4 linked regions of the Lonchura striata genome follow. The protein of the gene in region 4 binds, or shares a complex with, the protein of the main gene of each other region. Links are inferred from orthologs where the notes say so. Each region holds a gene or a part of one and is shown on either strand. Other genes may lie near its edges.

What was found.
Region 1: the proteins of MTOR (region 4) and RPTOR are in contact, whole or in part, in a cryo-EM structure (PDB 6BCU), measured with the Homo sapiens proteins. The link is inferred for Lonchura striata from reciprocal best matches to the Homo sapiens genes MTOR and RPTOR. Residues at the interface, in NP_001373429.1 of Homo sapiens: His597, Thr600, Pro632, Val644, Ser645, Gln646, Thr647, Ala648, Val649, Ala653, His686, Ala688, Gln689, Glu691, Met721, Asn722, Pro723, Ala724, Phe725, Met727, Pro728, Phe729, Arg731, Lys732, Leu734, Ile735, Leu738, Thr739, His743, Tyr771; in NP_065812.1 of Homo sapiens: Phe278, Lys282, Cys283, Ser285, Leu286, Pro288, Gln380, Ala381, Asp383, Leu384, Asp387, Glu411, Gln412, Thr414, Ala415, Val418, Trp419, Thr421, Met422, Arg427, Asn428, Glu431, Gln432, Lys973, Ile974, Asp979, Leu980, Glu981, Ser982, Lys986.
Region 2: MTOR (region 4) and MAPKAP1 share a complex: the UniProt entries of both Homo sapiens proteins name them as parts of the mechanistic target of rapamycin complex. The link is inferred for Lonchura striata from reciprocal best matches to the Homo sapiens genes MTOR and MAPKAP1.
Region 3: the proteins of MTOR (region 4) and RHEB are in contact, whole or in part, in a cryo-EM structure (PDB 6BCU), measured with the Homo sapiens proteins. The link is inferred for Lonchura striata from reciprocal best matches to the Homo sapiens genes MTOR and RHEB. Residues at the interface, in NP_001373429.1 of Homo sapiens: Arg62, His69, Glu73, Ala101, Thr102, Ile104, Gly105, Arg106, Asn109, Tyr110, Arg112, Asn113, Phe140, Glu143, Tyr144, Phe147, Glu154, Arg160, Thr969, Gln973, Phe977, Lys980, Glu1010, Phe1011, Gln1014, Met1018, Ser1050, Thr1051, Asn1264, Lys1293; in NP_005605.1 of Homo sapiens: Lys5, Ser6, Arg7, Lys8, Arg15, Pro37, Ile39, Glu40, Thr42, Gln57, Ala62, Asp65, Tyr67, Ile69, Gln72, Thr73, Ser75, Ile76, Asp77, Asn79, Asp105, Met106, Val107, Gly108, Lys109, Val110, Ile112.

Annotation. Positions count from the first base shown.
Region 1 is NC_134621.1:11,400,806-11,408,207, reverse strand, and holds the start of RPTOR (regulatory-associated protein of mTOR), read left to right. Parts: upstream 1-4,384; 5' UTR 4,385-4,633; coding exon 4,634-4,795; intron 4,796-7,402. UniProt on the Homo sapiens protein: Component of the mechanistic target of rapamycin complex 1 (mTORC1), an evolutionarily conserved central nutrient sensor that stimulates anabolic reactions and macromolecule biosynthesis to promote cellular biomass generation and growth.
Region 2 is NC_134624.1:10,804,454-10,811,336, reverse strand, and holds the start of MAPKAP1 (target of rapamycin complex 2 subunit MAPKAP1), read left to right. Parts: upstream 1-3,878; 5' UTR 3,879-3,960; intron 3,961-4,115; exon of another isoform or gene 4,116-4,180; intron 4,181-6,883. UniProt on the Homo sapiens protein: Component of the mechanistic target of rapamycin complex 2 (mTORC2), which transduces signals from growth factors to pathways involved in proliferation, cytoskeletal organization, lipogenesis and anabolic output.
Region 3 is NC_134603.1:150,905,956-150,913,132, forward strand, and holds the start of RHEB (GTP-binding protein Rheb), read left to right. Parts: upstream 1-4,176; 5' UTR 4,177-4,281; coding exon 4,282-4,333; intron 4,334-7,177. UniProt on the Homo sapiens protein: Small GTPase that acts as an allosteric activator of the canonical mTORC1 complex, an evolutionarily conserved central nutrient sensor that stimulates anabolic reactions and macromolecule biosynthesis to promote cellular biomass generation and growth.
Region 4 is NC_134626.1:5,764,692-5,771,818, reverse strand, and holds the start of MTOR (serine/threonine-protein kinase mTOR), read right to left. Parts: upstream 3,009-7,127; 5' UTR 2,925-3,008; intron 1,894-2,924; 5' UTR 1,850-1,893; coding exon 1,730-1,849; intron 1,346-1,729; coding exon 1,237-1,345; intron 1-1,236. Other genes in the region: UBIAD1 (ubiA prenyltransferase domain-containing protein 1), read left to right, coding at 4,295-4,817, 6,678-7,127. UniProt on the Homo sapiens protein: Serine/threonine protein kinase which is a central regulator of cellular metabolism, growth and survival in response to hormones, growth factors, nutrients, energy and stress signals.

The sequences.
Region 1 (7,402 bases), on a different chromosome or scaffold from region 4:
GACAGAGGGAGATAATGATAACGGATGAGCGGCTCGGAGATGGATGCCGGGGCTGGAGAACTCTATTAACAGCTCCTCCAAGCCCTCCGATCTATCGCATCCCCGACTATCGAGTGCAGCCTCGCTCAGGCTTTATGAGAAAAACAGCTCCATTAAGCAGCCGATTGTTGTCAGTGTGCGCAGGGGTCGCTTGAGTCTCCCCTGCGCCGCCGGGAACACAGAAATCTTTACATTTGCCGTGAACTGAAGTCGCCTTTGGGGTCAAACGCGGCGGCTGCTTCACGGTCTAAATGACTTCCAACTTGTGTACTACCTGGAATCCGAGGATGTCAAATGCACTCATTAACGAAACTCTACAGCCTCTGATTCATCCGGAAACTCGCCCTTTTATAGCTCAGGGGAGGCAAAGCCAACAGATAAAACTCTCAGATAAATCTTCTGCTTCCAAAATCTGCATCACCTTTCCTTTTTCCCTCTCTTTTCTTCCTTGGTGAAAAATTTCCCCTGATGCCAAAGTGTTTCTTCCATTAAAAGAGCAAGGAGAGATTTTTGACCTAGTATTTATTCTGGCCTTTTCAGCGTGAGACGAGAACATGAATCCCTGCATATTCCCAACGGGTGCTGCTGACTGAGATGCCACTTTACACCCTTTTTATGTCTCCCATATTTTTGAGGCAGTTTGACTGTGCTCAGAAGAGCACATCCCTTCACATCGGGGGCTGGGGCACTGCAGAACAACGGGTGTGGGAAGAGGCTCAGGGGGCACCTCCTCACTCTCTAAAACTCCCTGGCAGGAGGGGGCAGCTGGGGGGGTTCAGGCTCTGCTCCCAGGGAACAACAGGACAGGAAATAGCTTCAGGCTGTCCCAGGAGAGCTTCAGGTTGGATATTGGGGAAAATTTCTTGCTCCAAAAGGATTGTCCAGCCCTGGCACAGCTGCCCAGGGCAGTGGCGGAGTCTCCATCCCTGGGGGGATTTAAAGGCCTTGCAGATGTGGCACCTGGGGACATGGCCAGTGGTTGGGCTTGATCGTCTCTGAGGACTTTTCCAACCCAGAAGATTCTGTGGTTCCTGTCTGGGCAGGGAAAGCCTCAGCTTTCCATCCCTGCCCCGGTGCCTGTGCTCGGAAAGGCGGAGCTGCAGCAGGAGCTGCTGCAGGAGCAGCTGCGGGGAGGAGACACAGCACCAGACCCCCCCGGCAAGGGATTCGGGGTTCTGGGGAGCACCGGTGCCTGTGTGAGGATTGCTCGCCTGCAGCGAGGGGGCAGCGCCGGGAGCGGCCGCGGCTGCTCGGTCTGGCCGGGGAGGTCACCGGGAGGCTTCCCGAGCCGGGAGTCAGTGTGTGAATCATGTTTTGATGCGTATCGGCTTTGGCCCAGAGCCCGCCCGCCCCCTTCTCACCTGCCTCCCCGGGCTCCCAGCCCCGACTCACATCTGCTGGGAAGCAGGGAAGGAAATCTGTGTGCCGCGCATGCATAAATAACACCGCTGAAACCCGGCTTGCTTAAAAATAGATATTCTTCCCGATAAATATTTTACCTACTGTCTTTAGGCTGTAAAGCTGCCCCGACTGAAATGTTAAAACGAACCTCGTTTGTTTGCCCCTAAATGCCCCAAACAGGCAGTGCTGGGCTGAGGGGTTGCCCTGGGGAAGGAACGTGGCCACCTGCACTCCAACACCTGCGCTTAGAGCCTCAGGGAAGGTGGCCTGCTGGCCTGTGGGCATTGAGAACAGAGCTTTGCATCCAACTGACTCACTTGGTGACCTGTGGGTTTGAGTAATGGAATCAAAATATAAGATCTCTCATGATATTTATGAGCAACATTCTTCTTTCCATATCTGTATTTCTTCCTGCCCAAAAGTGGAATTAGAATTAGATGGCTGAATAAGGCAAAACAAAGGACATCGACAGAGCCTGAGATAGGAGGATTTTTCATTAAAAAGAGTGACAGGTGGGAGAATGTGTCCAAATGTGTCTCTGGAAGATAATCCTGCATTTTGGGTTTAAGGGCATCACTCACGGTGCCTTACCTGACATGATACTTCCACTCCTCGGATTCCCTGGGAGCAAGGGGGTAATTTAATCTGTTATTCTGTCCAGAACCTGGGGCTGAAGGCTTGCTTGTGCATGGAAAGGGCGCTCCTGAGGGCAGCACTGGCACCACCTCTGCCCTGGCACGGAGCTTTGGCAGCAGGGAAGGCTGGCCAGCAGTGCCGGGAGTGAACAGGAGAGGGTGGAACCCGCAGTGGGAGCCGTGCAGTGGAGAGGCCAAGCTGAGATCCCGTGGGAGCGCTGTGCGTGCCCAGCAGCCAGGCTGGTGGCTCCCAGCCCACAGCCAAGGCAGCACCGCTGAGCCCTCCGTCCCCATTGCTGTCCCCGTGCCCATCCCCGTGCCCTGGAGCCCGGCCAGCAGAGCCCAGCTCACCCCAGAGAAGCAGGGCAGTGTCCCAGGCAGCCCAGAGGGGACGGGCAGCCCGAGGGAAGGGCATGGGGCACGCGGCTCTGCCAGCTGTGCCCGCTGCCAGCTGTGCCCGCTGCCAGCTGTGCCCTCGGCGGGGATTTCTGCGGCACGCTCAGCCAGGCCGGGCCCTCGCTGCCCAGAGGGATTAGGGGGATCCATCTGTGCAGCCCCAGGGACTGGGATTCCTTCAGGTGCGCTGTTGGGGTTGTTTCTCTGAGCCCTCCATGGCAGCATGTCACCCTGTTCTTTTGAAGGTTTTAAAGTTCTTTTAAAAGTTTTCTATGCCTTCTGATGTTTATATATTTCTACTGGAGTTTCTCACACATTTTTCATGTAAATAATGATTGTTTTGAATTCTTTTTTGTGGGAGGAGAGAGTTGATGGACTTGGTTTGACCAGTGTGGTTGGAGAGGTGGCAATTTCTTCCTCAAATCCACTGTCACTTTTGGAATTCTGTATATTGCGAGGTCAGAAATCAAACTTGCTTTCTTTTGCTCTTTTGATCTTAGCGTGCATGTGTGAGTTATTTTGTGTTGTAGTGCAACAGCAGCAGGTTGGAAATAAAGATCTTTAAGCTGCCGTCCCACCCAAAGCGTGCCAGAATTCTGCAATTCTCTGGTTTTGTGTGGCTGCTGTTGAGGAATTCATTAAAGGCTAGCAGAAACGAGGCCATAAGCATTTTCTGCAGCCAGGCAGTTCGTTCTGATAACAATCATGCAGCTATCATCAGCCATCAGCACAAAGCACCATGAGGCAATGAATCAGCTCCTCAGGAAAGGGAAGGAGAAAAAGCAGAAGTTGGCCACCCCAAGAAACATCATTTGCCAATCTCCCAATCTCTTGTAAAGAAAGGTCATTGCATTGGAAATATTCCATGAGTGTAAACACACTGAAAGTATATGAAAATTAATGGTTCTGTAAATCAAATTACACACGTATATTCTTTAATTTCTACTTTGAAATAATGTTTACACATTTGAGTATTACAAATGTGAATGTGGCAGGGCTCGACTACCACCAGGAGCAAACACTGAGGAACTTCCTTAGCAGCAATATTTGCTATCCATTAACCTTCAGCTGAATGGCAAGGAGGATCTATGCCTGAAATGCTTCACCTGCCTTTCCTGGTGTGTGCAGTGACCATGCACCAGACACATCTGCAGGGGGCTGTGCCCGGTTTCAGCACTCTCCTGCTCTTTTGCCCCAGAGTAAACGAGCACACAGAACAAAGCGAAGTGAAGCCCAAGATCAGGCATGGCTGCGCTGGCACCTGTGCCTGGCTGTGTTGGAGCACCAGGACACGCCAGGGTGAGGCCGGCACTGCTCCCAGCCAGCAGCTCGGCATCGGGGATTGGTTTTCAGCTGGGTTTGAGCTGAGTCTCCTCGGGGAGAACAGGGACAGCAGTGCCACACAGGGACACCAGGAGCGATGGAGAGGGCGCTCAGGCCTCGGCAGGGGCTGCCCAGGGCGGTTTGGAGCGCCCATCCCTGCAGGCGTCCAGGGCATCCCTGCATGTGGCACCCAGCGCTCCGGGCTGGGGACAAGGTGGGCACGGGGCACAGCTGGGACTCCATGGGCCGGGAGAGCTTTTCCAGCCTCGGGGTTTGGGATCCCGGGATTCCCGCGCCGGCCGCGCCGTCCCCGTGGCAACGGCCGTCCCCGCGGCGGCGCGGCGTGTCCCGCGCGGCGGCCCGTACCGCGGGGCATTGTGGGCCGGCCAAGATGGCCGCCCCCGTGCCGCGGTGCTGAGCCCAGCCGCGCTCGCCGGCGCCCCGGGACGCGCGTCCCGTCCGCCGCCGCCCGCCCCCGCAGCGCAGCTCGCCGAGCCGCCCTCGGCCCGACGGTGTGCGAGGGAGCCGCGATGGGCCGGGCGCGGTGCCCGCCGCAGGGAGCGCGGGGCCCGCGGGGGTAGAGGTGCGAGGGAGGCCCCGGGCCCGGTCCCCGCCGGTCCCTCGGTGCTCCCCGGGCCGCGCCCCCGAGCCCGGCCGGGGCCGCTGCCTGCGCCAGGTGAAGGCGCTGCGTGCCCCTGGTCCGTCCGTACCCGCGCACCGGGGAGCGCTGCCCCCGCTGCCCTTGCCCCGGCCTCCCCCTCCGGCCGGAGGGACCCCCGGCCCCGCTGGGTGCCGGGCTGGACATCGCTGCCCACGTGCTGCCCGGCGCCTCCCCGCCCATGGAGTCTGAGATGCTGCAGTCGCCTCTCCTGGGGCTCGGGGAGGAGGATGAGTCCGACCTGACGGACTGGAACTTGCCCCTGGCCTTTATGAAGAAAAGGCACTGCGAGAAGATCGAAGGCTCCAAGTCTTTGGCTCAGAGCTGGAGGATGAAGGACCGGGTAATGCTCCAGGGCACCGTGGGGTTTGGAGCAGGAGCAGTCGGGGGACATGTGGAAAAGGAGTCGGAGCTCAGAGGGGGCTGAGCTGTTGTCAGGTGAAACGCTGCCTGTGGATGCCACAGTTTGTGTCCCAGTGCTGCGGGACTGGGGCAGCAAACCTGCAGCTGGCCCAGAGGCACTGCTGTGATGTTTACAGCCCTGGGCATTTGGAGCAGCTCCACCACTTTGGCGCTTTAAATGCAGCTTGGTGTGTTCTGGGCAAGGCAGTGAAGCACCCGAGGTCAGGAGGAGCAGCAGGTGCAGGAATTGCAGCTGCACAGGAGCTGGGTGGGTTTGCTGTGCCAGCAGGGTGCTGTGTGCAGTGTCCAGTGAGGGTGTCCTGTGCACAAACAGCTTGTGGGATTTTGGAGGCAGGACACAGTTTTCAGACAGAACTCTGGCTGTGTTACAGCAGGAGCTCCTGGGGTGTCTGGGGACATGTTGTGTGTTCCTGAGAGCACTGGGAGTGACAGAGACACGTCCCAGCTGGGAGTCTGGGATCCTCTGCTGCCTCTGTGGGATGTCTCAGTAAAGAGCAAACAAAGCACCTAAGAAATGTCCTGGACCATCATCTGCCCTCATTCTGTTCTTGGAGCCTTGCTGGCTTTCCCAGCTCTCAAACCCATAACTTTGTGTTTCTAGGTATTTATGGGTTTTTCTGGTGACCAGTTTTCCAGTACGTTTATGATCCTCTTGTAACAGGATGGAATAACTTACTGAAACTGCAGGCTGTGAGCTCTTTGCCCAGGCTATCCCTGAGTCTCAGTGTTCCCAGAGTGGTGGTTGCATTTCTCAGAAGTTCTGAACCGTGGACTGCAGGTGGGACTTGGCAGCTCATTGCTGGGTTGAACTGAGCACTTTGGGTGTGATTTAAAGGCAGCACAAGGCAGCACAAGGCACCACGTTGGGTGCTGTGCTCCAAAGCGTTCTGGCACACAGGAGACTTTCTCCAGTAGACTGTGGAGGTGTGATGAGCTTGCTGGTCTATTTTAGGTGCCTCTGCCTTCCTGAGATGTTTCCTGTTCCTTCATCCCTGATCTGCAGAGTTGCCTCTTTCTAATTCAGGAATGACTTTGCCCTGGTTGTGCTGATCATAGGTTGTGCAGCAGCAGCAGCAGCAGCACAAGTTCAGGGGGTGCTCAGGGGTTCTCTTTGGCTGCTGTGAAATGTTTCATGTGCTTGCCACCATCAGTGGCAATCCCAACCCAGCTCCTGCTGCCCGAGTCCATGGAGCTGCATTTCCCTCCTGTGGGACTTTCCGTGCCAGAAACGTCGTGGTTGTTGCTGCTGCTGCTCGGTGGGGCTGGGCCCTGGGTCACTCTGCAAGATGCTGAATCTGACTCTTGTGAAAGAAGAAAATAGAAGCAAAGCTCGACTTTTCAGTTTAGTCCTATTTTTGCTGTCAGCTGGAGCCAAATGACTTCACACCAGGGCCAGTGGTGTGGCTCGGGTGTCGTTTGTATCTGGGCAGTTGGATCAGGGATCCTTTGGACAAACTTGCTGTTGTGTATAATTACGTTTTTGTTGAAGAGCAGGTACATAGGAAGATACCAAAAGCATGTAAAGACACCTGAGAGAGGAAGAGCAGCTGATTTGAGAATGCTCAACCTCATTACTTTTAAATCTCAGCAGCTGTTTGTCATGTCTTGTGTTTTATTCCCCTTTTCAGCTATCACTAGCTGTCTCCCCAGTGCTTAATGAGAGGTAACAACCACAGAACCTCAGCTGGGGAGGGAAGGGGATGGGGCTTGGATTGCTGCAGGGGTGATGTCCGGTAAATATTTCCACCCAGTGAGCTTGAGTTTGGCTAATCCTGCAAAATAGTTCATAAAATCTAATCTGGTTTGACCTCGTGTCCATGATCAGAAGGTGGAGGGAGGGCAGCTCACTCATGCTGCTGTTTTCCCATGGTCCAGCTGGGTGTGACAGGTTTGTCCAGGGAATGGAGCACCTGGAGAAAACCCCAGGAGCTTGGTGTTTGTGGGGTTTTCCTGTGAGGCAGTGGTGGTGTGAGGGCAGCCTGTGCTATCAGGGTGAAAACTGATGGGTTGTTGATTTTCCCCCTTTTTGTTCCTGAACTGCTTTGTTTTGTTCTCTGGCACCATAAATTAATTACTTCTAGTTTCAGCTGTCTTCAGGAAGTTTCTTCTCTTCCTCTTTCCTTGCTTTCCAGCTCTGTCTCCAGGGTGCTGCTGCAGCTCTGTCAGTGCCCACAGCCCCTGGTGTCCCTCTGCCCCTCCAGCTCAGCCCCTTCCTTCCCTGCAGGCCCAGGGGGAGCCTCTGTCCCCATCCCCAATTCTCTGCAGCTCCTGTTGTCTCTTGGCTCCCTTTCCCACAAGCCAGGGCTGATGGACCCGAGGTGTGCTGTTCTCTCTGGGCTGCTGCTGCTGCTGCAGGAGGTTCCCTGAGGGCTGGAGGGGATGTGCCTCTGGCTGTGAGCTGAGTGTGGAAACCTTGCAGTGCCTTCAGTCTGAAAAACGAACTCCTCCCAGCCCGGGCTGGGCCATGCCTGTTCATTAAACACCCCAGCCTGTCTCTGAACGAAGAGGTGCTCAAAGGTGAGCCCAG
Region 2 (6,883 bases), on a different chromosome or scaffold from region 4:
TGATTGAATAGAGCCGGGGTTTGGTTCGGGCTTTATTCACACACACACACCCTCTCCTGCAGCAGTATCTGGTCAGATTTATAATTCATCTGCTGCCGCTTTGAGACAAGAAAAGAAAGAAAGAGGCAAAGTTGTACTTTGAGGGATGGCCGGACGGACAGACGGATGGACGGCGGCGCAAAGGCCGGTATCCACCGGGCAGCGTCCAGCGGGAACGGGCAGGGACCAGCCACAGCCTCCCGCGCACCACACCGACGGCAGAGCCATCGCATACTTCTACATTTATCATAGCTTTTTTTTTTTAAGGAAAGAAATCATTAAATAGCAACTTGGCTCTGCCTTGGCTGCTGGCAATTTCTCTTACGGCCCCAAGAAGTTGCTCTTAATTGTGAGACTCCGGGTCTCTGCAGAGGAACAGGAAGGAGAGAAACAAAAACCACACACACACACCAAAAATAATTAAAAAAATAATAATATTAATAATAATTTTTTTAAAAGACAAGGTTTAATTAGACGAAACCAACTTTGCTTGTGCCTCATCCAGGCTTTGGTCAGTGATGGTCATGATCTGATGGAGGATGTCGCCGATGTCCTGCTTCCTGCCGTCGCCGTCAGCCCCTTCGTGTCCGTGGGGAGGCGGCAGGGCCATGCCCCCCTGCACCGAGTGCCCGGCCAGGTTCACGCCGGCCAGAGTCTGCAGCATCCTGGACTGATCGTCCATGGCTCCGGGCCGGGCCGCGCTCCGGGCGGTCACGGCAGCGCCTGCCCCGCTCAGTCCCAGTGCCGCGCTCCTGACCGCGCTCTGCACACACACCACGAAAAAAGGGAAACAGGAAAAAAAAGCCAAACAAAACAGTAACAAAAAAAATGTAGTATTTGTGTTTTGACCGGATCTCAGCTGTTTATTCCACTCTCTTCTCCTTCCCAGGGCAGTAAATCACTCTCTTCTTTAGTTACAATCTTCTTTCATCATCATCATATTGGTGCCTCGGATAAATGAGCTGAGCAGATTTCTGTGAGATTTTCCTGGTACAATCTTCCTCCAAAGCTTTTTTTTTTCCTTTTTTATTTTTATTGTTGCTTTTTATGTCTTTCCCCACTTGTCCAAAAATCTTCTTTGCAAAAAGGCAAAATTAAAAAAAAAAAATTAAGTACAAAATCAAAAAAACTCGCTTTCAAATCCTTCAGAAGTTGGGAGGGTGCAAACAGCAAAAACCACAACAAACCAGCGAACACCCCCACCCCCAAATTGCAACATAAAAAAAGCCAAGAAAACACAATCACAGAGGGAAAAAAAAAAAATTAATCGCCCTCCCCCCCAAATAACAAACGATCCCAAGTCTGTGCACGGGGGTGAGACAGCAGCAATCAAAAGTTTGAACTTGTGCAAAGAAAAGAGCGGAAATAACGGGGAAAGAACTGTAAAAAAATTAATTACACACTCTCTGCAAAGCAATGTGCAAAAATATCGGCCCGCCGGAATTTATGAGCCCCGCGCCCGGTGCCCGCGCGTGTTTTATGTTGTTTGATGGCCGCTCCGGTGAGGGATTGACAGGCTGCCAACGCCACTCACTCACCGCAGACGTGTCACCCTGTGAAGGAGCCGAGCGGCGCGCGAGAGGGAGCGGAGCGCCGGCCCCGCCCCGCCCGCCGGCCCCGCCCCGCCGGCCCGCCCCGGCCCGCCCCGCCGGCCCGCCCGCCCCGCTCCGCGCGCGCGGCCCTCCCGCCGGGCCCGGCGGCGCCCGCGCTCCGGGGCGGGCGGGAGGGGCCGGCCGAGCGCCAGAGCGACGGGCACGGCGGCCAATCGCCGCGCGAGGCCGCGGGGGCTGGCTGCGGCCTTGGCCAATCAGCGCCCGCACGGTGGTGCCGCGCCCGCCCGCCCCAGCTCGGGCCCCGCCCCGGGATGAGGAACTTGTGATTGGGCCGTTCGAACGGCGGCGTGGGCGGGGCGAGCGGCCCGGGCCCCGCCCCCGTTGCCGTGGTGACGGCGGGCCGGTCCCGCCGGGCCGGGCCCGGGGCCTCCCGAGCGCCCGGGCCCGGCCGGGCCTGCCCGACGGAGCCCCGGGGCCTCCCGAGCGCCCGGGCCCGGCCGGGCCTGCCCGGCACCGGCAGCGGCGGCCGTGCGATGGAGCCCTGCGCAGGATGAAGGGTCCCGGGCCGGTCTGTCGCGGCCCGTGCCCTGAGCGTGTCCCCGCGGAGAGCTGCGGGACAGGACAGGAGCCCTCGGCACAGCCCTCGGCTCAGGGCCTGCGTTACCGCGTGCAATTGCAAATTATCTTTTTGTAAATGTGCACAGAACCGCGGAAGCGGGAGGAGGAAAAGGCACAGGCAGCAAGGGTAATTACGACTTCATTCCCTTAGGATGTTACATGTAGATCGTTGCCACCTCCTCAGACTGTCCTCACGTGGGACACTGCCCCGTTCGCTCCTGCTTCCCTCAGGTTGGGCCATTTTGTCACACTTCGGGTAGAGCCACGGTTAAAACCATCCTTAGTTTGCTTTTTGTGCTCTGTCTGTGGCAGACAGTCTCAGTGGAGCCATGCCCGCACCCAGCCCTCATCCCCTGACCTTCCTGGTGGTCTGGCTGATGCCTCAGGCTGGCATCAGAGCAGAGCTGCCAGCTCGCCCCAGTCCCAGCTGGCAGCGCCATCCCTCACCTTCACTTGGGCCTGGATGTCACCGGAGCCCTTTACCTGGCTGGGGCCTCGGATGGCTGGTGCAGATGGAGGTGGCTCCTGGTCAACAAATCTGTGCGCTCACCGTCCCCCCATACAATTAGTAAATTCATTCACATTTCAATTACTTTACATCTTAACTACTCCATCATTGTCTGTCTTGAGCCAACGAGTTTTCAGGGTCATCCAATTTTACTAAGAACACTACCCCAAAGGCATTTTAAATCGGTATTTTTGTGAATATTTCACAGATGCACTTGCCCCCTGAGGGTGAAGTGCCACGGATGGAATGGGCAGATCCCCTAGCCCCTGACCCTGCCAAACGGGACAGGGCTCCCTGGCCCCTGCAGGGACCTGCTCAGTCTCACTGCATCAGCGGAAAGCTGCTCTTCTGGGTGATTTTGGTACTGTTTCAGGAGGCTGAGTCCAGTCACCCCAGAGCTCTGGGCTCTGCCAGCTGCAGCCAGGCACTCCTGTGACATGCCCTGTGCTGGGGCAGCTCCAGCTCCTGCCCTTACTGTGCTGTTGCCAGTCACTGGTACCTGCTCCTCCCGGGCCTTGGTGGCACTTGTGCCATGCTGTGCACTGTCCCTCTCAAAGGCAGCTGGTTTGCGTTTGTGCAGCTGCTGAGGCTGCCACGTTAGGCTTTCCTCAGGGATGAACAAGTCTCCTTGCTTGCACAGGAAACTGCGGAGGCTGCACCAGCAGGTCTGGAGAGGTGACAGGGACACAGAGCCAGCAGGCCAGGAACAGGCTCCCTGGGAACAGCTGGGAGCACCGGCAGCTCGGCTGTGCGCCCTGCTCAGCCCCGGAGCAGCGGGTAACCGGGGACACTGCTGACGGCCCGGGCGGCGCTCGGTGCCGGTCCGGGCACACTGACCCGTGTGGGGTTCATCCCCTTCGTGTCTGTACTTGCGTGCTTGGCCTCAAATCACCAAATAAACACAAACGTCACCGTGCTTTTAGCAACACACTGGCAATAAAGCCAGTGCGACCCCCGTGAGAAAAGCGTCCTGTGTGCTGCCGTGCGGCACCGGGGAGCGCCGCTCGGCCGCGGTGTCCCGGTACCGGCGCGGGGCATCCCGGGCAGGGCGGCTGCGCCCGCCGAGCCCGCGGCCCGCTGCCGTGCCCGCGTGCGGCCCGCGCCGCCGGTACCGCCGGTGCCACCGCCCCGCCCGTTCCGCGCCGTCATTTCCGCGGCCGCGGCGCTTCCGGGTCCCGCGGGCGCCCGTTCCGCCGGACCCGGACCCGGAAGCGGCTGCGCGGCCCCGCGGCGGCGGCGCCGGTAAGTGCGGGGCGGGGGCGGTGGTGCCGCGGCTGCCCGCGCTGCCAGTCCCTCGCCGGGCCCCGCGGGATGCCGTGACCGGCGGCAGCGGCTGCCAGCCCGCCCGGGACGCGGCTCGGGCACCGGGGCTCCCGGGGCGCGCGGGCGGGGCCGCTCCCGCGGCTCTCCCGGCGGCGGGGCAGACGGAGCGGGTCCGGCCGCGATGGGCGGCGGGGCACAGGTGAGTGCGGCGGGAGCGGCGGGCACCGGCACGGTCCGGCGGGCCCCCCGGGATGCCCTGGGCGTGCCCGCACTCCGCGGCAGCGGGAGGCACCCGGCTGCCCTGGGGACTCCGGCCGGTACCGTCTCTCCATCCCAGTCCCGTGCCCTGGGGGCTCCGGCCGGTACCGTCGCTCCATCCCAGTCCCGTGTCCCGGCTGCTCCTGCCGGCCGCGGCGAGGGCTCTGCCTGCCCAGTGCTCCAGGTGCGCTCTGAGCAGCATCGCACCCGAGTGCCGTTCCGCACCGGGCTCCCGGTGCTGCTCCCGCTTGCCGGTGCCATGGGAACTGTGAACACCACACGGGAGCGGGAAGGTGTCCGGGGGATGCAGCAACGAGTCCGTTTCTGTGCTAGTGGAAGTCTGGTAATTGACTAACCAGAGATGCCAGAGCCAAGCTTGGATATCCTGTGTGTGTTTAGCCGATTTTAGGTGTCAGGGAATTATCAGGTACATGCAAGACTGGGAATTAGACTCTCTCAGTTACTTTTCCAAATTCAGAACAGCTCCATTCACGGACACTTTTTTGGGTTAGATTAAAAATAAATTGGGATCAGCATGTACGTACATATAGACTTGTACAGAAATAACTGAAGCAGGGAGAACCAGTTTAGCCAATTTCTGTATCAGTAATGTTTCACATCTTTGTTGTAACACCCTTTCCTCATCTGTTGGTTACATTTTCACCCATTGCAACATGTAACAAATTTAGAATAACAAATAACAGATGTTAAAATAACAAGTAACAGCTACATTCTTGTTGTGCGTTTCCTTTGGATCGGAGAAGGCCTCTGCAGGTGGAGCAGCCTGGCACAGGGATCTGTGTTATGCGTTCTGTAGCACGAAATTTTCCCGGCCATTCGAAGTTGTGAGCGTGAAAAGCACACACCTGTATGGAAAGGTCAGTTATGGCAACCAATGGCACAGCACATGGGCAGCGTGCTGGCCACATCCCCAGGTAGGAGCAGCCCATCTCCCACGTGGTCAGTCTTTTTGGAGATCACACAGTCACTGAGGCTGGAAGAAACCTGTGAGATCATCGAGCCCAGCCTCTGACTCACACCCCTTGTCAGCCAGGCCGGAGCACTGACACGTCCAGTCTCTCCTTGAACTGCTCAGGGCTGCTGATTCCACCACGTCCCAGGGAGCCCCTTCCAACCCTGACAGCCCGTGGGGTGAAGAAATTCCTTCTGATGTCCAAGGGCAAATGGCACTGGCTGAGAAGTGGGGGTGGAGCTCAGGTGTCCACATTTGCTCCCATTCAGGTGCTGGAAGGGGCAGTCTGGAGCTGAGGAGCAGAGCCCGGGGCTGTCAGTGCTGGTCCCACTGCTGGGACTCCCCGCAGGGAGGGGCTGCCTCAGGGGTGGCAGCAGCTCTCCAGGGCGTTTGTTAGTGCCTCTGACACGAACTCCAAGTTGTGTTTAATATTAACTCTGTGTGTGTGTGAGCTGAGGAGCTCCATCAGACTGTGATGCCTTGTTGTTCACTGTCTGTCAGCTCAGTTTTATATCCCAGACTGCAAAAGGGCAATCCCTACCTTGTTTGCTTATTGCCTGAGAAGTGTTGTATCTAAATCCATTATCCTGAGAGCAAAACAAAGCTCCTTGAATATGTTTTGTGTGCTCTTGAAAGAGACAGACCCAAATTTAAAAGCCAGAGAAACGGGGGATTCATCTTTTGCTGAAGAAATGTGAATCTATTCAGTTTCATTTGACATAAAGTCCCAAAGGGACTGAAGGTCTCAGGCATTTTTAAGGAGGTCTGATCATGAGTATTTCTTAAGTCAGAAGCAGCTTGCATGCTGCTATATTTAAAAAATAAGATATGATCATGTTTTTAATGCAATAAAAATATTTATGTACACTCAAAAGTAGAATGGCAACAACCTAAAGAAACTGTCTGACAGAGACCCAAGTGTTTGTTTTGACAGGTGCTGCTGTTTAAGGCACAGCCCCCTGCCTGGCAGTGTCAGAGCAGCCTCCCTGGTGCTGCTGCAGAGCAGTGCAGTGGCTGTGCTGCGAGCCCCTGGGCTGGCTGGGCCTGCCTCGTGTCCCCAGGCTCTGTCCTGGCTCCAGACAAGGCAGATTCTATGAGCCTGGGGGCCTTTTGGGTGTAAAACCCAAAGAGAGTAGCATCTCTCTCAATAGCAAACAGGCAAAAAGGTAAAATGGTGAAGCTTTCTGGTTCGGCATTTTTTATTTTTTTAAGATTGAAGCTTGTATTGATGTTTATGAAATTTATTAAGTTTTTTAGGTCCCTGAATATCACACTGAGAATTGTGAAAATAGAAGCTCTAGTCTGATATTCAAGCACTCCTAGCCTGTGCTTTCATTCTCCACTCTACAACAAGATATTTTGTTTATCACAGAACCCAAGAGTGGTTTGAGTTGGAAGTGAGTTCAAAGCCCACCCAGTGCCACCCTGCCCTGGCAGGGACACCTTCCACTGTCCCAGGTGCTCCCAGCCCCAATGTCCAGCCTGTCCTTGGGCACTGCCAGGGATCCAGGGGCAGCCCCAGCTGCTCTGGGCACCCTGTGCCAGGGCTGCCCACCATCCCAGGGAACAATTCCCAGTTCCCAATATCCCATCCAGCCCTGCCCTCTGGCAGTGGGAGCCATTCCCTGGGTCCTGTCCCTCCATCCCTTGTACACAGTGTGTCTCCATCTT
Region 3 (7,177 bases), on a different chromosome or scaffold from region 4:
TGCAAAATAGAATCACTGTGGAAAGGCAGGAGGGAGCAGAAACAAGTGCAAGGCTGAAGTGAATGTACTTTGTAACCTCTGCAGGCAGCAAGGGCTGTGCTGTGCCTGTGGAAGCATGCCCAGGGCAAACACTGGACACACTTCAAACCACTCCTTGGGAAGGTCCTGCTTTGCTGAAGGACAGAGCAGGTAATTGTGCTGATAATTGCTGCTGCAGGAATTGAAGGTACAAGTCAGAGCTGTTCTGCACTTGGGAGCTGAGTAGCTGGATGGCTGTGGGTTTGCATGTACTGGGTTAGTGTAAAAATACTTGGCTGTTGAGTTACCTTTACTACATTAAATCTATTGTGGTTCTTTCTCCATCAGAAAAAGTAGATACAGGCAACAAAAGAAAGCCATGAACTGTCCAGCCTCAGCATCCTCATCTCCCCACTGACACTCACTCCAGCCCTTTTTGCTGTTTCCCCCCTTGGTATCTTGTCTTTCAGAACCACATCTGATGTGTTTCTTTCTTTGAGTAAACAGTTTATAGTAACATTAATGTCATTTATCATCTGACCTGATCCCAAGGCTGTGTTTGATGAGGGAGTACCTGGCAGAGGGAGACAGGGAGAAGGGCTGGAGCACGGCCAGTGCAGAGGCACACAGGGTATGTCACTTGTCCCACAGTTCTCTGAACTGCTTTGGAGCTCAATTTGCAAACACTGCAGACATGAGGAGGCTGCAGCAGGAGCAGGGAATGTACAGGCACAACCCTAATTCCTAATGCAGCCAATGCTATGGAATGCTGCCCTGGGAAAACACAACCTGAGCATCACACCTGGATTGCTACAGGGGGAGAGGATTTCAGCAAAGGGGTACTTGGTGTGTGAGCCTGTTCAGCCCTAAATGTATCAACAATAAGAGTTCAGATAATGCACAATGCCTGGATTAGACATTCAGAGCCAAAGGTGTGCTGTCCCTCTGCTCAAAGCACTCCAGAAGTGTTTAGACTTCACCTGGGCAGGAGAAATGTAGTAACAGCCTTACCACAGTCCAGATCCTCTCACCTCTGCTTAAGCTGGTGCCTCTTGAGTAGCAATGTCCCAGAGTGCTGCCAAAGGCCATCAGCAGTGTCACCCAGCCCTACAGCATGGAAAAACAACCAACTCCCCTGAAAGCTCTGTATTTCCCTGTATTCCCAGCGTCCCAGCCAAGACAAAATGAAGCACTTACATGATCCTGCTGGAGGAAGGATTATTAGCCAATTCCCTCCAAAGGAACAGTGGAAGAAAAGGCAGTTAAAGATTTTTCTTCAAAATAAACCCATGCCCAGAATGGATGAGTTCTGTGTTGCTGCTGACAAGCATCCTAAGGTGAGACAACTCAATTGCAATTTAAGGCAATAAAGCCAATAAAGGGGGAGGAACAGAAACCCTGCATTAGTGAACTACCCTAAACAAGCACAGAATGAGCCAGGGGCAAGTTAACAGAAACCAGACAAATAAATAGACACAGCTTCAAAAGGAGAGTGGGATAAGAAAAAGAGAGTTAGGGAAAAGACCTAATCAAAGAAAGAGGAAGGAACAAAAACAGAAACTCCCACAAATGAAAAAAAATGCTGATTCTCACCACTCTGACCATGTGGAGGGGTATGGGTATATGTCCTGAAAATACAAGTTAGGTTTCACCAGAGTAAAAATCCAAGTGCCAAAATATGACAGGCAAGTAATAAGAACTGTAAGGAGATGGAAATTGAAAGCATAACTACCACAAATGTCAGCTGTTTTTCCAAATCCATGTATGGCACTGGAAGGTAATTCTTATCTCAGTCCTCTCAGTCTTCTGGCTCAGTAAAAAGTCCAAATTCTGGACCGTGGCATGGTTCCAGAGGGAGTGAATGTAAAGATGATGGCACAGCTCCAAGGGTTGGTCCTGCAGGATCATGGCTACTGCAGTCCTCATGTGCATCAAACAATTGTGTCTGTTACAAGACACGAGACACGAGACAAAAGAATCTGGTGCTGTACATCGGGGAGGGCTGTCCCTCTGCACCTCCTGGGGAGCTTTGAACAGGATCCCTGTTCACAAATGCTGGATTTCCACAGGCTGCTGCCTTTTTGCAGGCTCCCTATATCCCACCAATCCCAATATGGGATGATGCTTGAGGGCTGTGATGAGGTGGGAATCTGCTGTAGTGAGTGGAAAAGACAAGGCTGGTCACAGGGAATGAGCATGCAGCGTTGTATCACCACAGCCATCACTGAGAAAGTACAAACCCCCTGTATTTCCTCATGAAATAACTATCCTTCCATCATGTACCTATTCACTGGAAGCTGTTATTCCTGCTGTTTAACAGGTCACCAGCACTTGTCCTGTAAAACCCCATAATCCAGAAGACAAGGGGTATAATTAGACTATCCCAAAAAATGCAGGTATCTCCTGAAAGACTGTCTGCTCCTCCAGAAGCGAATCACTTTTGTGTACAAATGGCTTTCTTTTGCTTTAGTTCCCTGCCCTCTCATCAGCTTAGATGAGTACGTGGGAGTGGATGGGTGAGATCAGGGAGAAGCCAATCCATGTCCCTTAACATCATCCAGCTGCTAGTTTGGCTTGTTGTACTCTGGCATAATTGCATGTTAGGTATCAATGTTTCCCAAAAAGATAAGATGCACATTAAAATAAGTAATTCTAACTAACATTCATTTTTCAAGAAAATGTGTAAAGGGTTTGTATTAACCCAAAGTGTTCCAAATGAGTAGTAGAGGGGAGAAATATGACTTTCCTGTCTTAGTGTCTTTTCTCCCTTAAATTCTGCATCCATCAAGTGTTGCAGTCTCCACTAGTACGTGCAGCCCTCTTTTCACAGCGGAAAACTCCCCACCGCTTGGATCCCACAGTTAGCCATTCCCAAGCTCCCAAACGCCGCCTTCCCTTCCATGCAATTCCCAACACTTTATCCGCGCTGGGACCCGACGTTTCTCCATAAATCATCTGAAGAGGCACCGAGATAAATTCAAACAAATTTAAACAAGCCCGGCCGAGCGGCCCTTCCCGGCACGGGATCCTGGAGCTGCGGGGACACGGGAGGGGCAGCGCCAGATCCCACGGCCAGATCCCACTGCCCAGGGAGCAGCCCCTGGGATGGGGAGAGGAACGGGGATGGGGAAGGAGACGGGGACTGGGATGGGGAGAGGAACGGGGAGAGAAACGGGGATGGGGAAGGAGACGGGGACTGGGATGGGGAGAGGAACGGGGATGGCCACGGGGATGGGGAAGGAGACGGGGACTGGGATGGGGAGAGGAACGGGGAGAGAAACGGGGATGGGGAAGGAGACGGGGACTGGGATGGGATTGGGCAGGGGCGGGGGACGGGACTGGGATGGTGATAGGGACGGGAATAGGGACTAGGACAGTGATAGGAACAGGGATGGGGATAGGAACAGGGATGTGCACGGGGATAAGGACCGAGATGGGGATGAGGAAGGGGACAGGGATGGAGGCAGGGACGGGATTGGGCCAGGGACGGGACTAAGACGGGGATAGGGATAGGGACCAGGACAGGGATAAGGGAAGGGGACGGGGACAGGGATGGGTGACGGAGATCGGGGACGGGACAGGGACGGGGATACGGACAAGAACAGGGATAAAGGACGGGGACAGGGAGCGGGATGACCAAGGTGACGGAGCTCGGGGACGGGACAGGGATGGGGATAGGGACCGGGACAGGGATGGGATGAACTAGGTGATGGAGATCGGGGGCGGGACAGGGACGGGGACAGGGATACGGGACAGGGAGGGCGATGACGCGGCTGAGGGGGCTCGCGGCCGGGGCCGGGCGGCGCGCGCGGGACGCACCAACCGCCGCACGCTGCGCGCGCACGCGCGCGGGGCCCCGGCGCGCGCCTCTCCGCCCCCACCCCCGCCGTCCCCGCTCGCCCTTGCCCGCCCGGCCCCGCCCCCTCCCCTTCGAACGCGGCCGTTGCCGCTCCCCGGCCAATCCCCGCCCGCCGCCGCCGCCGCCCCGGCCAATCGGCGGGCGGCACGGCGGGGGTGACGCAGGGAGTTTTTTCCCGTGACGCGCAGGTGCGTACGCGGGGCCGGCGCGCGGCGGCGGCGGTCACGTGGTGCGGCCCCGCCGCTGCCAGCGCCGCGCGTCCCGAGCGCGCTCCGGCCGCCGCCGCTCCCCCCGCGCCCCCCGCATGTCGCTGGCGCCGCGCCCCGCGCCCCCACAGCCGCCCGCCGCCGCCCTCCGCCGCAGCCGCCGCCCTTGATGTGGTTCGGGGCCGGGCGGGGGAGAAGATGCCGCCGTCCAAGTCCCGCAAGATCGCGATCCTGGGCTACCGGAGCGTGGGTGAGCGCGGCGCGGGTTTCGCGGCGGGGGTGCGGGCGAGTGCCGCCGCGTCGCCCTCCCCGGCGGCGGCGGCGGCGGCGGCGGCAGGTGCAGCGGAGGCAGCGGCGCTTCCCGCCGCCCCGAGCGCGCAGCCGCGGCCCGAGGGAGGGAGCGAGGGAGGCCCCGCCATGGCGGCGCCGCAGAGCTGCGGGCCCGCGGCCGCCGTGCCCTTAATAGGAAGTTTCGCCCCCCGCACTGCCCGAGCGCAGCCCGGCGAAGCGGGATCGGGCGAGCTGCGGAGAAGGCTCCTTCCCCGCCCGCCCGGCGCTCCGTACGGAGCGAGCCCGGAGAAGGGCAGCGGAGCTGGGGAAGGGGCTGGAGCGCGTGTCCGGTGAGGAGCAGCCCGGAGGAAAGGAGGCTCAGAGAGGCCTCGTCGCTCTCCACAAGTCCCTGACAGGAGGGTGCAGCCAGGTGCGAGTGGGCTCTGCTCCACGGCAGCCAGCGATAGGACGTGAGGACACGGTCTTCAGCTGTGCCGGGGGAGCTTTGGGTTGGACACCAGGGAGAATCGATTCTCAGAAAGTGATCGGACACTGGAATGGGCAGCCCAGGGAGGTGGTGGAGCCACCGTCCCTGGAGCTGTTTAAGCAGACTGGACATGGCACTCAGTGCCGTGGTTGACACGGTGATGTTGGGTCTCGGAGCACTTTCCGAGCCTCGGTGGTTCTGTGCTTTAGAAGCAATTTGAAGTGCTGGGGAGGCCAGGCGGGTCCGTTGCCCGTTCTGCCCCGGGGAGGTGTCGGTGCGGCAGCGCAGCCGCTGTTCCGAGGGGCCGCCGCGCCTCCGGCTGTCCCCAGCACGGCGCTGCTGGGACAATCCAGCTCGGGCTCATCCGCTGGGACGAGCTTCCTGGAAGCGTCCAGCACGAGTCTGCAGCAGCTGATAGAGGGTTTTGTTCATAGCAAACGGTGTGATCCTGCATTCGCTGTCTTTGATGGAGAACGGTTTCAGATGTTTCAGCTTTCGGGTTCTTGAAGCGGGAGGGAAACAAGCTGTAGTACAGCCGGTGCTAATCGATCAAACTTAAAAGCATAGATCAATGTGGAAGATAATGTGTGGTTGGAGGGGAAAAGGAAGATGTTACAGAGAGATACTACTCTGATATAGATGAGGTTTTTGCACTGAAAGCTATATCAGTAATTTGTCTTACATGGCACACAGCATAAAGAACCCTTTAAAAAAGCTTTTTTTAATATAAAAATAGGCCTAAATAAGGAGAGCTTTTTCTTGCATTTTGTGCATAGCTGCAGCCAGGTTGGTGTTAAAGGGATTGATGAATTTGTCCAGTCCATAAACAGAACAGTGAGTAGTAGATTGATCAGTTTGCATAGTCCGTATGACATCACTTGTTGCAGTGTGTTCATTGTCTTGTGTGTTATGTTTTCCTTCTTTGAGCACTGGTGGGAGCAAAGCAATGGGCAGTGTAAGTGGGAAGGGGGAATGCTTGAAATTCTGTCCTTTGGAAGTCTGTGGTGGGGACTGGCTGTACTGTTGAGCTTTGGTCCTTCATCTGTTGATGCTGACAAGCAGCAGTCAGGAAATCAGATATTAGTAGAGTGTAGGACCAGCTGAGGAGAAACAGAGAAGTAGTATAATGTTAGTTTGGTTGGTGATGTGAGCAGTAGTACTCGTGGAAAGGATGACCAAAATGTTACCTAACTGATAAGACCTACTGCTGAACTTCTTTAACTAAATTTTCTGGGACTAGTGTGGAATTGGGCTTGATAGGACAAGAGCAATTTTATTAGGAGAACTACAGGTTGTAGGAACATAGAGTTAAGAGTAAGTGAAAAATCTGGTTTACTGGAATTTTCCTTTCATTGTCATTAAATTTCTCAGCTAATACTTAGGTAGAAGTTCAAGCAGTAGAAATGGGCCTTTGGGGTCCTACTTCCATCTTGTAAAGCTGTTAGAAAAGCAGGAAGGTTAACCTGTAAGATATAAACTGTCCTCTGCTTCCCCAAATATCCTCCTAAAGTGTAGTAGGATGGGGACTGAGACTTCAGGGAAACTTGTCATTAAGTCTTGCTTTGTATTATGATGATGAGGATATCACTTGAACCCTGGGTAAGAAAGGATATTATCTCATTTTAGGACAAGTATTTGGGTGGTAGAAAAGGAAGTACGTTTCTTTTGGAGGAAATGCTGCATTGTATAGAGGTAATGCTCATTAAAGTGGGGAAAAAAATCCAGAATCTGAAGGATTGGAAGGAAATGCTTTCTACATTTCCTTTTGTAATTAGAGAACGACATTGTTTTGCTATTAACATTAATCTTGACCCTGGAATTACGGAGGTTAACTTTGGTGAGTTGTAAAATGTTTATATTTTCATAGGTTGACCCTAAATGCTTAGGTGACCTGCTCTGGGAAGTTGGATGCTCCTGTTGTAACTACAGGGTTTGGGATGAAGGTGTCATAAAATGAGGAGCTCTTTTTCCCATGTCTCTCTGTTAGGTGCTGAAATAACCAGGTTTTGATGATATATGTCAAGCAGTGAGCTTTTCCCTACAGCTGTTGATTAAACAATGCCGTGGGTCTCTCTGGTTACAAGTGTGTGCAGTGAAGGGTGGGCACACCCTCCCTGGGGATTTGTGAAACAGGGTCTGAGAATTGTACTGGATTCGTGCTAAGGCCTTGTTTATTTTACTTACTTTAAATTTTAATCTTATCCCAGTGTTGTTGTCAGGTAAACTAGATGTTGGGAGTGGTATTCTGGTATAATGGTGCTCAGAATAGAAAATTCAGGAGTCTTCTTGTTTGAATACACTCCCTCTATCTTTCAACACCACCATCGAGCCTTTCAT
Region 4 (7,127 bases):
CAGAAAATCCCTGGATGACAGCTAGTATTCCCTACACATTCCTTAAAGATTCCTATTAAGTCCCTCTAAACTAAAAATCCACAGGGTGAAAAAAAAAAAAAATCAAGCACAGGAAAAGGCCACCATTCTTTTGAGCCTGAAGTTTTCAAGTGAGTGGAAAAATGCATCTGGTAGCCTCATAGATTTTCCCCATTTTTAGTTTTAGAAGAGAAAAAAAAGTAATTCACCCTGTGATCATAGACCTGTTCCTAATAGAAAGACATACATCTGCATGCAACTACTATAGCTAGTCCACCTCACAAGAGAGGTCAAAGACTGAAGAGACCAAGGAAATGCTCTCCTCCTCAGCCCTAGAGACAGTCTCTCCTGGTCAGGGTGGAGGCAATTCCTCAGACACCAGCATGGCAGAAGCTTTTGTTGCCAGTGCCTGGGTTGCACTTGTTTTATAGATAAAGAGGCTATCAGGGTTGTCAAGCTGGCAGCTTTCAACATCATTAAATTCACAAAGCAATTTGAATGTGATACTGTAAGCTTAAGACCTGATGTTATCAATAAAGATTTCTCTAAGGGATTTACACTGCCTTCAAACACATTGGGATTGGATGATTATGTCTGTGAGCCTAAACCATAAACATCTCTTTGGCTATTTAAGGAGTAACAGCTACAATACAGGCTCTTTGCCTGGAAGGCAAAGTATTTATGCAAGCTGACTTCCCATAGAGTGGGGATTCAGGCAGCTCTGCAATCTCACAGAGAGCACACAGCCAGAGCCACTAATGGAGAGGCTGATCACAATCACAGCAGAAGCTATGTGAGCCCCTCTTGGGGATGCAAGTTACTGTTATAGAGCCAGGTAAATTTAAATAACAAGAATCAATCTTTCCAGATGGAAGAGAGTTGAGAAAGTCAGCCTAGCCTGAAACATATAAAGGGGCAGTACAAAGTGTTCTCAGCTGAGCTCCAGAACAGAATTTTCATGAGCTCAGCATTCACATTTGATGCTCAACTCCCAGAAGAGCTGAGAGTCCATTAAGTACCAGGTTTTCAGCCACTCTCAGTAGCTCCCATGCTGACACTTCAGGCAGATTTTCAGAGCCAGCAACTAGAACACATCCAGTATCTTGAGCTGTCAGACATCAGACCCCGACCATAAAAGCTCATTCCTTTTGAAATGTGTCCCTAAAGATAGTTGCATGAAAAGAAAACTCAGCAGAGGCATTATGCACTTTCACTTACCTATAGCCAGAATGCCACCCTTCCTTTCATTTGCATCAGAGCTAGAGACCAGCTCAAATATGTGATGGTTCAGCTGATCGTAAAACCTGGTAGATTCTTCCTGACTCATCTGTAAAAGCAAAAAGTTCAAATCAGCTTTCAGCATTCTCTTCGTCCCTCCTGCTCCAAAACCTCCAAAAAGACAGTGCTTCATATGCCACTTAAACAGAAAGACATTAAATCAACCATACATTACAAGCTCAAAAAAAGTTTCTCTTATTTGTGACCTATATGCAGCAAATTTATTTATTCTGGTATTTGACTACCCGTTTGTGTCACCAACTTGCTCACCTCTCCTACATGCCAGGGAGCAAAGACAAGCTCTCCACTGTGCCCCATTTCTTCCCTGAGACCAGCTTCCATATTCCAAAAACCTCCATTCCCAAGGCACCCAGCCCAATAATCTACACTCAGATGATGCACAAAGATAAATAATCCCATTTGTAGCACTCACCTCACGCAGCTCCATGGTGACATAATGCTGCAGGTCCTTGGCAGCTTTCGCCCTCGTCTCCTCGCTGCGACTCTTCAAGCCATTGGCAAATTGCTGGAGAATGGACACAGTGCCCGACATGGTGGTAGTGTGCTGGGGCTCAGGGGCATCAAGTCCTGTAAATTCTTCAGAGAGACACATTTTTTACTGCTTGAATTGAAATCTCCAAGCTTCTCTCGTAAGGCCTTCCCTCCTGACTGTTCCCAAAATACCCATAAAGATGCTGTGTAGACCATAAAATTACAAGTAATGACTATATTCCTTAGGCATTACACTCCATGATAAAACTGTATCACCACGTATCATGACACCCAGCCTATTTGCTCTCTAGTTCCTCAAATACCAAAATACATTACAGTAGGCCAGGTCCTCTAGGGTGATCTAATCTTAAATCAAGAGTAATGCAACAGTTGAAAAACAGCAGGGTAAAACCAGGGTTTGCAATTACCAATAATAAGTAAGCACAACCATTCCAAGGATTATATCACGATCATATCTGACTCCTCCCTGAACACTTTCATCCAAGTTTCTTCACAGAAATCTCAGTGTTACACCAACACAAGGAAGACTCAGCACTGGCAAGTGTTACATTCTCCAACAGATATTTAGAGATGGGAGGTCCAGTTATAGCAACACCAATCATTGCAACAGGGGGTTTCCTAGCATGACACATAAACAAACTTTCTCGGGAGCCTTTCTTTATGTCAAAAACATTTCAGACGCTTGACGCCCCCCCATATTCAGATTACATAAAACCAAGCCAAGCACTAACACCAGAACTCCCCAAATATTCCACACGCGCTCGCAGACATCCAGCGGGACCACAGGTGAGGCGGCTGCTGGCAGGAGCCCAGGAGAGGCTCCGCATCAAAGAGCAGCGCGGGGGGTGGATACTGACATCAACCCAGCCCGGAGCCGGTGCCTGGCACTCCCTCAGGGCCACAGAACGCGGCGGGCCCGAGCCGGGGCTGGGGGAGCGCCGCAGGCCGAGCGTGAGGGAGGGTGAGGCGGGGCGAGGCGAGCACGGCCGGCGGGGCCGCAGGGCGGCAGCGCCGCGCGGCCGGGGGCTCGGGCAGGTCGGGGCGGGCGGGAAGCGGGAGCTGAGGGGAAGGGGAGCCGATGATGATGACAGGCACCGCCGCTCTCACTCACTCACCCGCCGCCGCCTCCCCTACTCCGGGCCCCAGGCCCGTGCCTGCCCCGCCGCCGCGCCCGCAGCGCCGGCGAGCCGCCGCTGGCCAATAGGCGCCCAGGAATGCCTTGATCGGCATCTCGTCTGACCAATAGGAAAAGAGAAACGGGGAAAACGCGCTCAAATCTCCGCCCCTGACCCAAAGAACCGCAAGGACAGCCGCCTTTCGACCAATCATCAAGGCAGTAGAGACTGAGTGGCAGTAAAGCTGACCAATAGAATGGCTGGGTTTACCCAGTAGGCCCGCCTTCCCGACGCCGGCTTCCGCCCTTCCGTGAGGTGCCGGCTATGGCCGGGCTGCAGCATGGGTAGGTAACTATCATCGCCTGCTCGAGCTTGTGTGAAGCCTTTGGCACCGTTCCGCATGACATCCCGGTCTCTGAACTGGAGAGACGTGGATTTGATGGATAGACCACTCGTTGGATAAAGAACTAGCTGGATAGACGCTCGTAAAGAGTTGCGGTCAGCGGTTCATTGTCCACATCGAGACCAGGGACGAGTGGCGTCCCTCAGGGGTGGTGCTGGGGCTGATAGTATTCACCAACTTTGTCGGCGACATGGACAATGGGATTGAGGCACCCTCAGCAAGTGACACCGAGCTGTGCGGTGCTCTTGTGGAAGAAGAGAAGGCTGTGTGCAGATCTCGGAGCAGCCTTTCAGTACCAGGAGGGGCATACAAGGAGGGACTCTTAACCAGGAACAAGGGCGAACAGGTTCAGACTAAAAGAGAGGAAATTCAGTTTAGATGTTAGGAAAATGTTTGGGGAGGTCGTGGCACAGAGAAGCTGTGGCTGCCCCATCCATGGAAGTGTTGGATGGGGCCTGGGCCAGTGGAAGGTGTCCTGCCCGTGGCGGGATGAAACCAGAGGAGCTTTAAGCTCCATCCCGGCGCAAGCTGAGCCCCGAGTGCGCTTTGCGCATGCGTGACGGGAGCGGGGAGGGCACTGCCGCGCCGTGCTCCGCCGAAATGTGTCCGGCTGCCCGTGACAGCGCAAGGGCGGCTGTGTCCGCGCCAGGCTTCGTGTCGTGGCGGCTATGACACGAATCGTAGTGCCGGCGCGTGCTGCGGGGTGACCCCCTCGCTGCCTCGCGTGACACCGCGGGCCGCTAAATTTTCGTTTTAATTTGACAGCGGGAGGTGCCGGCAGGTGCGGAACTCTTGGCGCGGGGCCGCGGGGGTGGCGAGGCCGCGCAGGCCGGCGGCCACGTAATGGCGGCGCCCGCGCATCTCCCGCCGGCCGTGACGGCGGCGGCGCCCCTCGCTCCGCCCGGGCCCCGCTAACGAGCGGCCCTTCCCCCTCTAGGTGCTGCCGCTGCGAGGCGGCGGGGCGAGCATGGGACCGGCGGAGCTGGTGCAGAAGATCAGTATCAGCGCCGAGAGCCCCCGCGGCAGCGGCAGCGAGAGCGGCGGTGCGGCGTTGGCGGGCGTTGAGGGAGCCGCCCCCGGCAGCTGGAGGCACAAGTGTGCGGCCTACGTGCTGGCGCTCCGGCCCTGGAGCTTCAGCGCCTCGCTGACCCCCGTGGCGCTGGGCAGCGCGCTGGCCTACCGCGCCGAGGGAGCGCTGGACCCGGGGCTGCTGCTAGGGAGCGCCGTGACCGTCCTGGCTGTGCACGGGGCCGGCAACTTGGTGAACACCTATTATGACTTTTCCAAAGGCATCGATCATAAGAAGAGTGATGACAGGACGTTGGTGGACCAGATTTTGGAGCCGCAGGATGTGGTGCGGTTTGGAGTTTTTCTCTACACCGTGGGCTGTATCTGCGCTGCTGGTCTCTACGCTGTCTCGACGCTCAAGCTGGAGCACCTGGCCCTGATTTACTTTGGAGGACTTTCCAGCTCCTTCCTTTATACCGGAGGTAAGTGCTGCATCCCGTTAGTTGTGAATCTGCTTGTAGAAGTGATAGAATCAGCGGAATTGTCAAGAGGCTTCTAGAAGACACAGTGCACTGCAATAAAATATTTGTGGTGTTTCCTGAAGTACTGGTACATAAAGTTATATTCTTTGCAATTGAATATTGTGGGAAGAGTCATACTAACATCTTCACTTAGATAGTGGTGTTGAGGCATTACTGTTTACAAATATGGCTTTAGATGCTTCCCAGAACTGTTGCTGAATCTTTTTGTGAAGTTTATCTCATATCCTTTAGCAGTGTTGCTAATGGCATATTTTCTTTGCTGGGAATGTTACTTTGTTTTGGAATGTTTCGTTGTTATTCTTTAGATGGAGCTTCACTATGAATGCTGTACAGTGTGTGATTCTCCTTAATAAGACAAGGATATTTTAGTGTCTTCCTGTATTGGATAGACAGATACAAACATCATTAGTAGGGGAAGAAAAAACAGCTGAGTTTCTAACTGTCAGAATTTCAGTTATGCGGGTTTCCCTGAAACTGTCTTGTCATTTTTTGCATTTTGTTCTGAGCATTTTCTATATTTCTTTAGGATCAGGTTTTCGTATACATGATCACACTGAAAAAAAAATACCTTATTTCTGTAGGTTTCTGAAAAGACAGGTCTTTCTAGATGGGCATTAAAACCTGGCCCTTACATTTTTTGTCTGGAGAAATTCTTACCTTAAAAAAGAAGGAGATAATGTGTTTCTTGTCCATAGCTGCATGTGCTTTGGTTGTTTTGTAATGTTCCTATGAGAAAGGCTGTGTGGGTATTCTCAGAGAGAAATGGAAAGTTTCTAACCAGACAGAAGCCTGAGAAACTGTTGAGAAGAATGTAAATAAGGTTCTTTATCTTCTTGTTGTTCACATTGTTTATAGTTAGGTTTTGGTACTGCATGTCTTTCACTGCACATCAATAGGTGAGATGTTTTTACTTCAGGACCAATATAAAGAGTGATAAATAAATCAGAGTTATACTCGCAGCCTTCTGAACAAAGTCTATTCATTCCTATCCTGCCTCAACAGCATCAAGGCTGGATATATAGAAATATGGGAATGATTTATTTAAAAATATGGATATTGATCTAGTACCAATATCCAACTGTGATGGACAAAAACTCTCTAACAGTTTAAAGTTGAAAAATGTGTGTTTATTGTGTGTAGGATCACTCCCAAATCCACACCGCAGCTTCCAGGTGATTACAGAGTCTTTTTATCCATACAAATATTGAATATCCAAAATACAAATCCATATTCATCATTTTGGTACATCCCATTCCCTGCTTTGTATGCTAATCACTTCAAAAGCCATTCAGCATGCATGGTTTGTTCCTTGAAATGGGTCGGTGTCCCTTTCATGGGGAGGGGTCCCAAAATGAGGAAGTAAATGAAGTCTTCCTCGTTCTGACCTTTCTACCTTTTCAATGCCAATATCACAAATGAACTCTTGGTAGAACTCCCATTCCTTGTCTTCAATTGGTTTCAGAACAGAGGAGGCCACAATTGTCTTATGTTCCTAAAAGCTATTTGTCAGTTTGTGTATTCTTCATTATAAACCCAGATAACTAAACATTGTGCTGACAAGCAATCAATTATTAGTTAACTCCTAACTCTTAACTTCATCACGGCCTACTCATTTATTTTAATTAATTCTAGTAAGGCTTATCTCTAACTAAAATCTTAGCTCCTTTAAAATCCCTAAATTCCTTAAAATTTACGTTTCAGGAATAGGAATATTCCTATGGGAACTGTTATGTCATCCATGCTCTTCTGTCATTTGAATTATTTAATGATGCTTGACTTTATCCTTGTGTCTTGCCACAGGAATTGGATTTAAATACGTTGCGCTTGGCGACGTGGTGATCCTGATCACCTTTGGGCCCCTGGCTGTGATGTTTGCCCACGCAGTGCAGGTTGGTTACCTGTCTCTGTCACCCCTGCTCTACGCTGTCCCTCTGGCCCTCAGCACTGAGGCCATCCTGCACAGCAACAACACACGGGACATGGAGTCGGACCGGCAGGCGGGCATTGTCACCTTGGCCATCCTCATTGGCCCCACCTTCTCCTATATCCTCTACACTGTGCTGCTCTTCTTGCCCTACCTGATTTTCTGTGTGCTGGCCACACGTTATACCATCAGCATGGCACTGCCACTGCTCACCATCCCCATGGCATTTTCGCTGGAAAGACAATTCCGGAGTCAGAACTTCTGCAAAATTCCTCAGCGGACAGCCAAACTCAACCTACTGCTGGGCCTTTTCTATGTCTTTGGCA